Rhinolophus ferrumequinum: one gene and its partners. The protein of the gene in region 1 purifies or fractionates together with the protein of each later gene. This does not show direct contact. Links are inferred from orthologs where the notes say so. Each region holds a gene or a part of one and is shown on either strand. Other genes may lie near its edges.

The links.
Region 2: the proteins of CDK2 (region 1) and EP300 purify together in Homo sapiens (affinity purification with mass spectrometry; 3 studies listed by BioGRID and IntAct, counting the BioPlex papers as one, with this or other methods). This does not show direct contact. The link is inferred for Rhinolophus ferrumequinum from reciprocal best matches to the Homo sapiens genes CDK2 and EP300.
Region 3: the proteins of CDK2 (region 1) and TFDP1 purify together in Homo sapiens (co-immunoprecipitation; 4 studies listed by BioGRID and IntAct, with this or other methods). This does not show direct contact. The link is inferred for Rhinolophus ferrumequinum from reciprocal best matches to the Homo sapiens genes CDK2 and TFDP1.

Annotation. Positions count from the first base shown.
Region 1 is NC_046293.1:55,368,920-55,372,664, forward strand, and holds the start of CDK2 (cyclin-dependent kinase 2), read left to right. Parts: upstream 1-921; 5' UTR 922-1,143; coding exon 1,144-1,259; intron 1,260-1,969; coding exon 1,970-2,047; intron 2,048-2,153; coding exon 2,154-2,274; intron 2,275-2,933; coding exon 2,934-3,104; intron 3,105-3,592; coding exon 3,593-3,694; intron 3,695-3,745. Other genes in the region: melanocyte protein PMEL, read right to left, coding at 86-218, 421-441. UniProt on the Homo sapiens protein: Serine/threonine-protein kinase involved in the control of the cell cycle; essential for meiosis, but dispensable for mitosis. Phosphorylates CABLES1, CTNNB1, CDK2AP2, ERCC6, NBN, USP37, p53/TP53, NPM1, CDK7, RB1, BRCA2, MYC, NPAT, EZH2.
Region 2 is NC_046293.1:6,788,545-6,792,289, reverse strand, and holds the start of EP300 (histone acetyltransferase p300), read left to right. Parts: upstream 1-990; 5' UTR 991-2,198; coding exon 2,199-2,292; intron 2,293-3,745. UniProt on the Homo sapiens protein: Functions as a histone acetyltransferase and regulates transcription via chromatin remodeling. Acetylates all four core histones in nucleosomes. Histone acetylation gives an epigenetic tag for transcriptional activation.
Region 3 is NC_046287.1:56,001,609-56,005,353, forward strand, and holds the start of TFDP1 (transcription factor Dp-1), read left to right. Parts: upstream 1-1,152; 5' UTR 1,153-1,339; intron 1,340-1,350; exon of another isoform or gene 1,351-1,503; intron 1,504-1,569; exon of another isoform or gene 1,570-1,834; intron 1,835-2,223; 5' UTR 2,224-2,286; coding exon 2,287-2,298; intron 2,299-3,745. UniProt on the Homo sapiens protein: Can stimulate E2F-dependent transcription.

The DNA of each region.
Region 1 (3,745 bases):
CCAGTATGTACCATTAGAAGAGGGAAAAGCAGAGGTGTGCAACCCCAAATTCACATTTATTCACATCCACACACTCCACACTCACCTTCTGTGGTCCCCACAGCCAGAAGAGCACCCATCACAGCCACATGGAGAAGGCATTTTCTCTGCATCCGATCCATCCTGTCTTCCTTCCAGCAACCAAAGGTGCTGGGGGTGGGGGTGCCTAGGACAAGCCCCTATATAAGAAAGGGGTGCTCATTTGCATAGCCCTTCCTCCGCTCCTTCCAGAGGACGCCTGGGCGGGGCAAGAGGACCAGAGAAAGGCAGAACTGACAAGGGATCCTGGTCCCTGGACATCCCGTTATTCAGTTTCTGGTTTCAGTAGGTCATTCTCATCTCGACTGAAAAATAATTAATTGACTGAAAGGCAACACGTACCAGACGCAAACCATTCATCATGGGAGAGTGAATCAATCTGTTTAGTCAAACTAGGAACTCTTAAAAAGGCCGAAATAGAGACCCTTCATCCAGAAAGAGACAGCATCAGAGTAGGCTGAGAGGCTGAAGCAACGGCTCCTGCGAGGCCCAGGAAACCCTTACAATGAGATTCCCAGCTTCCTGCTTTTCAAACGAGGACCCCTGGGCCAGGTGGAATTTAATCTTAGATCGATAGACATTTTCCCTAAGGGTTGTGAAAACGGAGAGATCAGGAAATCCCTACAAATTCAGGACACAGGTAGAAAACTCGAGCCTAAATCAGGTACTTGAAAAAAAGTGCTTAGTCTCGGAGGTAGAAACTTGTCTTACTGCCGCACAGAACCGAACTTGCGCGGGGCGGGGTCATTTGCGGCGAGGGGCGCTGGGTTAGCCCCGTCCTCTTTGACGTTGACCAATAGGAAATGCTAGGGGCGGAGCCAGGGAAACGCGGGAAGGAGAGGCGGGGCCTCCGGTGGTGGTAGGGAACTGGCGGGGAGGCGGCAACATTGTTTCAAGTTGGACAAATTGACAAGAGCAAGAACTATACTGCGTTCCATCCGGACCTGGGGCCGCGGTGCGGGGCCCTGTTTCTACCTCCTCCGCCCCCGAGAGCGGGGGCCCGCTTTCTGCAGGGTTCCCAGGTCCCCGCTCCAGGGCCGGGCTGACCCGACTCTCTAGCGCTTCATGGAGAACTTCCAAAAAGTGGAAAAGATCGGAGAGGGCACGTACGGAGTTGTGTACAAAGCCAAAAACAAGCTGACCGGAGAAGTGGTGGCGCTTAAAAAAATCCGCCTGGACACGTGAGTGGCCTCTATACCCGGACTCCTACTTCGGGAGCTCCTTGAGTGCCCCCCACCCCCACCCCAACAGGCGGGTAGCAGTCCAGGGACCGGAAGGTAGCAGGGAGGGACTTCTTTTGAATTGGGAGAAGTGGGTTGGAGGATTGTAGAGGGTTTCCCTCTGGAGATTATAGGGTACTGTCGAGTCGTGGGAAATTTGCTCCCCAAAACCGAGTGATGCCCCCTAATGTGCAGTAAGGAAGAGGAAGGAGGCCTCTTGACATAGGGTCCAGGACTCCCCGTGGAGTTGGGTTTTGTGGGAACCGGTGAAGAGTACCTTTCTGAATAAAGAGCCCTCCTTACTGCCCCAACCCCACCCTCATCTTAGAATTCTGTCCCTCTTTCAAAAGAATGGCAGTTGAACCTCACTGGCCCCTCAAGGGAGGCTAGGTGCTGCTACTCCCTTTTTTTTTTCTCTTACCTTCTCTCTTCCCCTTCACCAGGAGGCTTTACTTACCTACCCTTGGGAAAAAAAGAAATAATGACCTTAATACGTCCCAAAGCGACTTACTGTCCACACGTGAATGAATTCCTACAGCACCCTTTTTGTTCTCTCACTTTCTTAGGGGATGCTGGGGTGGTGTCTCCTTGGGGGGAAAAGAGTGACTGGGCTGGGGAAAAAGGAATATTTGTAACCACATTCCCATCTCTGCTTTCCCAACCTCTCCAAGTGAGACAGAGGGTGTACCCAGTACTGCCATACGAGAGATCTCTCTGCTTAAGGAACTTAACCACCCTAATATTGTCAAGTAAGTATATACCTGGGAAGTGGTTGACAGTAAAGGAGGATGACTTCTGTCTGTGTAGCTGGGCATTTCTCTCCCTCATTTCCATTCCTGGACCTCCCTTCCTTAGGCTGCTGGATGTTATCCACACGGAAAACAAACTGTACCTGGTTTTTGAGTTTCTGCACCAGGATCTCAAGAAATTCATGGATGCCTCTGCTCTCACTGGCATTCCTCTTCCCCTCATCAAGGTAATTCTTCTAATCAACTCTTCCCTGACACAAGCATGTCTTGGAGGTGGGGGGCTGAAGGCAATTCAGACTGAGTGGTGATTTGTAATCTTGGTTTCCTTCCCAGACCTCCATCCTCTACACACACACACACACACACACACCTTTCTTTTATGGCTCTTTCACTGCACATTATGCTTATTAACACTAGGGCTGGGCAGGAGAATTAAAGAAGTTGAAACTCTAGTGAGTCAACTTAGCAGCTCAGGTAGAAGGTCAGATGAAACTCAGATAAATGGGACTTGAGGGCACTTGGTACATTCCTCCAAAAAAGCCCTTCCACCTGTTTGGTGGGAAAAATAGCCAGTGAGTCTATCTGTTTTAGGGCTGGGTTCTTTACTCCCTGAGCTACTTTCAATCTGTCAACAAATGTTTATTCAACACACATTTATTGAACACCTTCAATGTACTAGGCACAGGAAATGGAAAAGACATGCAAAACTAAGTAAGACCTAGTTCTTATCCTCACTGGGCTGACAGTCCAATGAGAGAAATAGCTTGTAAACATGTAATTATAATCTAACATAGTAGAGGCTTTAGTAGAGCTTTGGAGGCACAGAGCAGACCCTAATCTGCTCAGTGTAATAAAGAAACACAGTCCTCTCTCTCTCCATTGTCAGAGCTATCTGTTCCAGCTGCTCCAGGGTCTAGCTTTCTGCCATTCTCATCGCGTCCTGCACCGAGACCTCAAACCTCAGAATCTGCTTATCAACGCAGAGGGGGCCATCAAGCTAGCAGACTTTGGACTAGCCAGAGCCTTTGGAGTCCCCGTTCGTACTTACACCCACGAGGTCAGTCCCTCTCTGCATTTCCTCTCTGCTCTTCCTGGGAGGTGTTAACAAGGACATTCACTAAAATAACTAAAAGTATTTGGACAGCAGTTTCTCTCTCACTAGGTGGAAAGTATTTCTGACACCTCGAGAGGTCTTAGAGTATGCACAGAGTTCATACTGTGGGGTTAACTGGGCTTTGATAGAAACCAAGCCAGGAGAGCTGGATGGCACATTATTAAAATTATGACCACTTGTCTCAAGTTTTCCAGAAAAGTCACAAATTGGGGGTTCATAAAATATGGTCCCCAGAACCATGGGCTATGCTCATTCTGACGTAAGAAGTTATATGTAATGATTTTACTTAGGGGAGATCAGAGGGAACGTAAGGATGGAAGGAAAGAAGTCTGTTAGGAGGCTGAGAGTTAGCAGGGTAGTATCGGGGAACTGAGATGTGGGAATCTCCATGCTCGATACGCCACCCCTCCCCTTCCTACTTTTGTGCCCAGGTCGTGACCCTGTGGTACCGAGCACCTGAAATCCTTCTGGGCTGCAAATACTACTCTACAGCTGTGGACATCTGGAGTCTGGGCTGCATCTTTGCTGAGATGGTACGGAGGCATGCCTGAGTTCCACCCAGCCCACTCCTCCCCACATTCAAG
Region 2 (3,745 bases), about 49 Mb from region 1:
TTCTTTCCATCCTTACATTACCTTTAGCACATTATGTTTTTGCTTTTTCCATAATTACATTATCTTTAAGGCACTGCCTAAACGGCGTCTTTTATTAAGCTGGTTTATTGGGGGTGGGCGAATAGAAACGCCCTAAAATGTTCTCAGGTCCCAGATGAGTTAAGAAAAATAATTGAAGGCCCCTTTGGTGTCAGTGATACCTGGTAGGGGCGTGTGGACACGTGGTGGGCAAGAAACAAATTTAGGTCCTAAAACGTCTTCCAACTGCTGTGATTTTTGTTTTCTAATTATCAAAATACACACTCGTTGTCAAAAAATTGTAAAACTCAGAGAAAAAGGAAACAACTTGTAATCAGTGTGGTTTTGGGATGTAACCCGTTCCTTTTGGGGAAGCGATGGAGGGGAGAGAGGACGCATTAGGTCTTTGGCCAGGAACACCGGGCGGCGGGGTACTCGGGAGTTGTGGGTTCAACCGGGTTCGAAAAACCGACCGCCCAAGAGCCTGGGGAGCAGGGCCATTCCCACTGCGCTCCTTTTCCGCCACCTGCGCGGTGACTTGGCGCCTTCCCTGGCGTAGCTCCCGGCCTCCGTCACCCCCGCTCCGCACCGGTCCCCTACGCAGATACCCAACCCCGGCACCTTCCCCCGTAAGTGTCCACCGACTGAAAATAGGTCCCGAGTCCGCCCCCGACCCCCCTTCAAATCCTCCCCTTTAAACGGAGCCACCGGGTGACGCCGGGGGAGTTTGCGGAAGCGCCAACCGCGTTGGGGCCTTGGGCGGATCCCGTGATTGCAACTGGCCACGCCCCTGGGTCCTCTTCCCCCATTGTGTGAGCGACTCGGGCCCAGGCCCCGCCCCCTCACCGCCTCTCTCCCGCGGCCCAACCCCTCCCCTTTTTTTCACCCCCCCTTGGCTCATTTCCGGCCGCCGCTGCTACCGCTAGCCCGTAAGGAGGATTCGACAGAGGGAAGAAACAACAGCCGCCATCTTGTTTGTGTGCTAGGCTGGGGGGGAGAGAGGGCGAGAGGGAGCGGGCGAGAGTGGGCAAGCGGGACGTCGGACTGAGTGCGAACTGCGGGAGCGAGAGTGCGGAGGGGAGCCGGGCCGGAGAGAGGCGGCAGGGGCCGAGACAGTGGCAGGGGGCCCGGGGCGCAAGGGCTGAAGCGACCCCCAGCCCCCTCCCGCCCGCACACACCCCCACCGCGGCCCCGGAGCCGGGCCGGCGTCGACGCCTAGGGGGGACCATTACATAACCCCGCGCCCCGCGGCGCCTTCGCCCGCCGCCGAGGGCGGCCCCGAGCGGAGCCCCTGGGGGGCGGGCGCTCCCGGCACCTGGCCGCCGGGGGTGGGGGCCGGAGAGGCGGCCGTATTTATTTATTTTCCGCGGGAGAGGAGGGCGAAAGAGAGCGCGGCGCGAGGGGAGGCCGCCTGCACCACCCTCCGGAGCGGGGCCTCGTCGGTGGACTCGGCGTCGGCGCGGGCGGGCGGCACTGTTCGGCCCGGCCCCCTCGGCCCTCTGGGCCGGCGAGCTCCGCGCCCGGCGTCCTCGCCGCTCCTCCGCCGCCCGCCGCGCGATGTGAGGCGGCGGCGCCAGCCTGGCTCTCGGCTCCGGCGAGCTCTCTACGGCCATTAGGGGCCGGTGCGGCGGCGGCGCGGAGCCCGGCAGCAGGAGGAGGGTTCGGAGGGTGGGGGCGCAGGTCCGGGAGGGGGCACCGGGAGGAGGTGAGTGTGTCTTGTCGCCTCCTCCTCTCCCCCCTTTTCGCCCCCGCCTCCTTGTGGCGATGAGAAGGAGGAGGACAGCGCCGAGGAGGAAGAGTCTGATGGCGGCGGCGGAGCTCCGAGAGACCTCGGCTGGGCAGGGGCCGGCCGTGGCGGACTGGGGACTGCTCCTCTAGAGCCGCGAGTTCTCGGGAATTCGCCGCAGCGGACGCGCTCGGCGGATTTGTGTTCCTGTGCCCTCCTCCCGGCCTGGGCTCAGGCCCGGCCCCTCGCACTTGCCCCTACCTTTCTATCGAGTCCGCATCCCTCCACAGCCACCGCGACCCGGCGAAGAGAAAAAGGAACTTCCCCCACCCCCCTCGGGGGCTGGCGGAGCCCCCCAGGCCCACCCCAGGGAGCGGGGCGGGGATCCCGGGCTGAAGAAGAGATTTCCCGAGAATTCTCGTTTTCCTCGCCTGTATCTCCGAAAGAATTAAAAATGGCCGAGAATGTGGTGGAACCGGGGCCGCCTTCAGCCAAGCGGCCTAAACTCTCATCTCCGGCCCTCTCGGCGTCGGCCAGCGATGGCACAGGTTAGTCTCGGGAGTCCTCTCCTCCCACATCCCCTTTCATCTTTTCTGCTCGGTGGACCTTTATTCTTCCATATTTTCTTCGTTTTTCTCTCTTCCTAGTTCTCTCTCTCGATTAATTTTAAAGGTGTTTGAATGAGCTGGTCGAAGACGTCCAGTAGCCCAACCATTTTCTTTGCTTCCTAATACATTCGTTGCAACATTATGTCATATCGATATGTGTTCTGGAATTAGAGCTCTTGAGTGGTGATATAGAAATGGCACTTATTGTTTCCATGCAGTTTGATTTTGGATATGCCAATGCATTTGTGGGTAAGGGCTTTTTATGCAATTTTACTTTTAATTTTTTATTGTTGATAAATGAGGAATTGCGAATCCTTTCGCCTTGGTTGCACTTACTCTGTTTCCTCTACTTTCTACTCTTCCTTTTCAAGATTTTCTCTTTTTTGCACAAGATTTTCTGTTAAAGATGAAGGTGTAAAAAAAAATCTTGGTTTTATTTGTTAGTGGGTGTGATTCCAGGATTTCATGTTTGACGTGAGGTTTAACGTCAAAACCTGAAATTTGGTTTGAATGATTTTACCTACAATTCCTAGCTTTTTTTTTCCTTTGCTTTAAGAATCAATATGGAGCGCAGTTCATTTTACATCTTCCATTTCTTTGGTGTGAGACCAAAATGTCTGAAACTCTGGGTTTTCAGGTGGGAGAGAGCAGGGACATTTTCTTTGCAGTTCGTAGTCACTTTGTCTTGGGGGGGCAGTGGGGGGAGATACTGATTTTGTGGAGTGAAGTGCTTGGAAATCAAGATAGAAATTCAAAGAGTCCCAACCATGAACTGATGGTACACAACTTTAAAATGTGCCTTGTTTGTGTGTTTTTGCCTTTTTATGCTTTAAACATATTTGGAGATTTCAGTTTAAAAAAATCTCTACGAATTCTTTGTGGAATAGCCCTTTCACAAGAGATAGTCCGGGAGACTTCCTTCCATCATCTCTTTCTTACAGTTAGTTTGGTGCTGTCCTGATGACCACCGGCCTTCTCTTTTGCTGTCATAGTTGTTTGGGGTGCCAGGATAATGAAGAGGAAGAATGGCTGGCCATTTGACCGTCCACAAGATTCCCTCCCCCGCCCCCCCCCCTTACTACGGAGCATCTCTTGAACTCCCCAAGAACAAGCTCAACGTCATCCCTCCATCTGCCAGTGAGAGTACTTAATGGAGCTAAATGTACCCTTTGAGTTTGTAGAGAACTTTTCAGCACATTTCTAAGTAGGCTTCATCTTAAAGGGTGAAAATGTAAGGGTATGGCAAATGCTGTCGTTTCTTTGCTTTTATAAGAAAAATGTGTTACGAGTTTAAGATAATCAGCAAAAACTAAGGATTTTTGCAGAGTTCCTCTACTTCAGGCTTGTAACATTAGCAATGCGTGAACTTTGATCTGTCCTTACGCCTTGAAGT
Region 3 (3,745 bases), on another chromosome or scaffold:
GTTAAGTGGTGCATTAGAAGCCGGAATGGGTGTGATCAGCATAAAAGTGGTTAAATTGTGAAACCATGCTAGGTGGGGTGTAATGCAGAGAGGTCTTTGCTCTGTGCTCAAGTCCTGAGACATTAATTATGCCCTGGCTCACTGCGCACCACAGCCTGGTGCAGCCCTGAACTTTGGACTTGACTCCCAGGCCTAGCCTCTGGGGCTTAATCCTCTGGGGGCTGTGGGCTCCAGGGGGCACTAGTCACCTGGGCTAAGGGTCCACCAGGCCCACGCAGTGATAAGGAACAACCTTGCTGCCCGGTTTACCTCCCTACTACATGAAGGACCATCATCTGGGCACAAGCCAGGCGTTGATGTGGAGGCTCCAAGTCCAGCAGAGGCAGGTGGACAGGGCTCTGCACTGCATACGCACACATCGTACCTTCCACGCACCTGCACACTCATGGGCAGCCTGCCGTCCTTGCGCACATACATACACATGCACTCACCCAAACACACCCACGTGCACAGCCTGTCTTTCTCCTCGAGTACACATACACTCGTGTGTGCACACACCTGAACTTTCCTCCACGTGTCCACACAGCCCCCTTCATCCCTCATGTGTGCACATCTGCAGGTGCACAGAGCAGCCCCCTCTCCGCTGTGTATGCACATAATACCTGTGCCCACAAAATCTGTTCACTTCTGCCTTTGTGCACACACCTGGCCACCTCTCTTCTTTGCGTGCACATGTGCATATACACCCAGTTCCCTTTCCTGTGTGCATATACACCTGCGCACACTCTCAGTCAGCCTCCCACTCATCTGTGTGCGCATATTCACAGGTGCACACACGAGGCTCCTCTCCTCCGTGTGCACAACCCCTGACCCGTCTCACATGTGCGCACGAGTGTTCACACACATTCCAGCCTCTGTCCCCGTGTGCGCACATGTGCACATCCCACCGGCTTTTCTTCCCCGCGCGCGCACCGCCGCGCACTGGCGCCAATCCCTGCTCGGCGCGCACACGCACAGCCCATCCCCCTCGGAGTCTAGCGCGGGCAGCCCGGGCGGGAGGAGGAGGAGGAAGAGGGAGCCGAAGGCGCGAAAACGCGCGCAGGCGCGCTGCGGGAGCCGGGCCGCCCCCCACGTCACCGCGCCGCGCACGTCACGCCGCCCGACGCCCGCTCGGCAGGGTGAGCCCCGCGCCCGGCGCCTCGCAGGGCAGGACCCTGGGCCGGAGCGCGCGCCGGGACTGCCCACGTCTCTGTGTCCGCGTGTCCGAGCCCGCGCGTCCGAGCCCGCGCCCGCGCCCTCGTGCCCACCCCCGCGTGTCCGTGCGCCCACCGCCAGCCAGGTGCGGCAGGCAGGGGGCTGGCGAGGGCTAGGGTCCCGGGAGGGGCGCGGGCACGCGGGGCGCCCACTGGTCCCCCGTCCTCCTTCCCTGCCGCGTGTGCGCGCCCCTCCCGGCTCCCCGGCCTCCTGCCCCTGGTCCTGGGCGCCGCCGTCGGGGGCTCCCAGGTGACTCGGCCGTGGGGTCGGGGGTCCCGGGTCCCCCTTGGGGCCTGCAGGTGGCCTTCAGGCGGAGCAGCAGCACCGGCGTCTGCACCCGGTGGGGGTCGGGGTCCGCCGGTGCGCAGGGGGTCTAGGGGTCCGCGGTGCGCGGAGGCGGCGCTGACCCGGACTTGGCCCGCCCGACTGCCGGTTCCGGCGCGCGGGAGGCGCTCGCGACGAGGCGGTCGCGGCCTAGTGACAGGCCGGAGGCCGGACCCCGGAAGCCCACCTGTCAGAGTTACCGGCCGGCCGGGTGGGCGAGGGGAGCGACCCAGCCGGGACCGAGGCACTCCTTGGGGTGCGCATTTGCGCAGGGACAACGGTGCTGCGCCTGGCGGGGGGTAGCCGGGTGTCCTTAGTTGCGCCCAGGTTGCGCGGGCGCAGGCTGGGTGCCAGGCCCGACCGGGTGCCGGGTCTTTGTGTGGGCATCGGGGAGGACAGGGGTCGTCAGGGAGCCAGACTGGGCATCCTATTGTTGGATGCATTTCCCTTTGCTGAGATGACTTAAAATCCCAGGTTGGGGGGTGGGGGTTTGCCAGCTGCGCTTTGAGGATGCAGTGTGGGTTTGGAATGGAAGGTGCCTGCTGCCTGGAGGGGCAGTCAGATTGCTGGTGGTACTGGGGGAAATGTTGATATTAACTTCTGGTTTTATTCTTACTTATTTATTTTTCCTTCCCTCTTTACCAGAAAAATCATTTTTCTTCTCTGGAGGGTGAACATTTATAGCATCGATTTCACGGATCTGGTAACATGGCAAAAGATGTAAGTATGTTTGCTTGGTTTTACAGACAGATGTTTGCCTAGCACTACACTCTTTGTAGTTTTCCCATTTTATTTCAGAAGGACGACACAAACTACAGTACTGTGTATTTTCAGACTTTTAAAGCACATGAAATAGGATAAAGATGAAAGAAATTTATTAATAATAGCTTTTATGGAAATGTGTGTGATTTGCTTCAGCAGCTGGGTTTTCAGTCTTAAAACACTGGGTGACAAACACTGCATGAGGCTATACGGTATCACTGACTTTTTCTTCTTTTCAGAGGGTATTAACTTACAATTTTTAATATCTTTGTTGAAGAACACACTGAGTTGGGTGAGATGGAGGGCTGGGCCCAGGGTGACTGGTGGTGTGACCCTGAGCACCTGGTTTGTGGAGAGTGTAGGAAGTTAATTCAACTTTGATGGATAAAGTGCTGAGTGCTTGTTTTGGCCACTTTTTTCTCAGAAAAAATCTTGGTGGTTAATGAAACGAACCCTACTTTAGCTTGTTTTGTGTTTGTCATGAAACACTAAAGTATAGTGAATAATTTTTTTAACTTGTTCCAAGAACTAAGCTTTTGGATCTAAAAATGTAGACTATTTTATTGGTTATGTAGTTCTTACCACACTTTGTCATATCACTTAAAGTCATGGAAACCCCAGTTCTGTCCTTCAGTGTTTCTCAGAATGCGTTGTTCTGTAAGCCTTAGTGAGAAGAGGCTGTTTATTTATTTACTTACTAATTGCACAGAGCTGGAAATGTGGCTCAGATAAACTGCATCTGCCTGAAACAACTAGAGGTAGTAAAAATGTGTCTGTAACCAAAGAATAGAGGCTTTCCGCCTTTCCATCAGTTCAGTGGTTTTAGTATTCTCTAAAAAGGCTGAGTGAGAGCCTCCTACACTCTCCCGACTGTCAGGCACGCACTCACGTTTGCTCCTGTCTTTCCATGCTGGGTTTCATTTGGTAGAGAGTGTATGAACACACAGTTGCACCCTGTGTGGTGTGTTTTAAGTTAAAGTTATAATCCGTATATAATATTAGGTTGATTTTATCACGTCTAATTGCATTTGTTGATGGCCACATCCTGTTCTCTGGCACATATACACCAAAGGGGCAAGACGGGTAGTATGTGCTCACAGCAGAATAATTAGGGATCTTGAAGAGGGCGCTGCTGTACCCCATGCTTCTGTTAGAGTGCAGTTCTGGGGTTGTGTGTTTCAGGGAATCAAATTTATTTGCCCTTTTTTATTAACCAACTAGAGGAGAGGGAGTGACTCCGTGTTTGAGAGACTCGCTTTGATTCCCTGCTGGCCTCGGGGATGTAAAGACAGATAGTAGAGGCCACTGCCATCTGGTTGCAGGAAGAAGGGCTTGGTAAACAACCTTTTCCGACATTCACTTCTGGAGAAGCAGCCCCTGCAAAGTGCGGGGGCAGCTGCGGGCC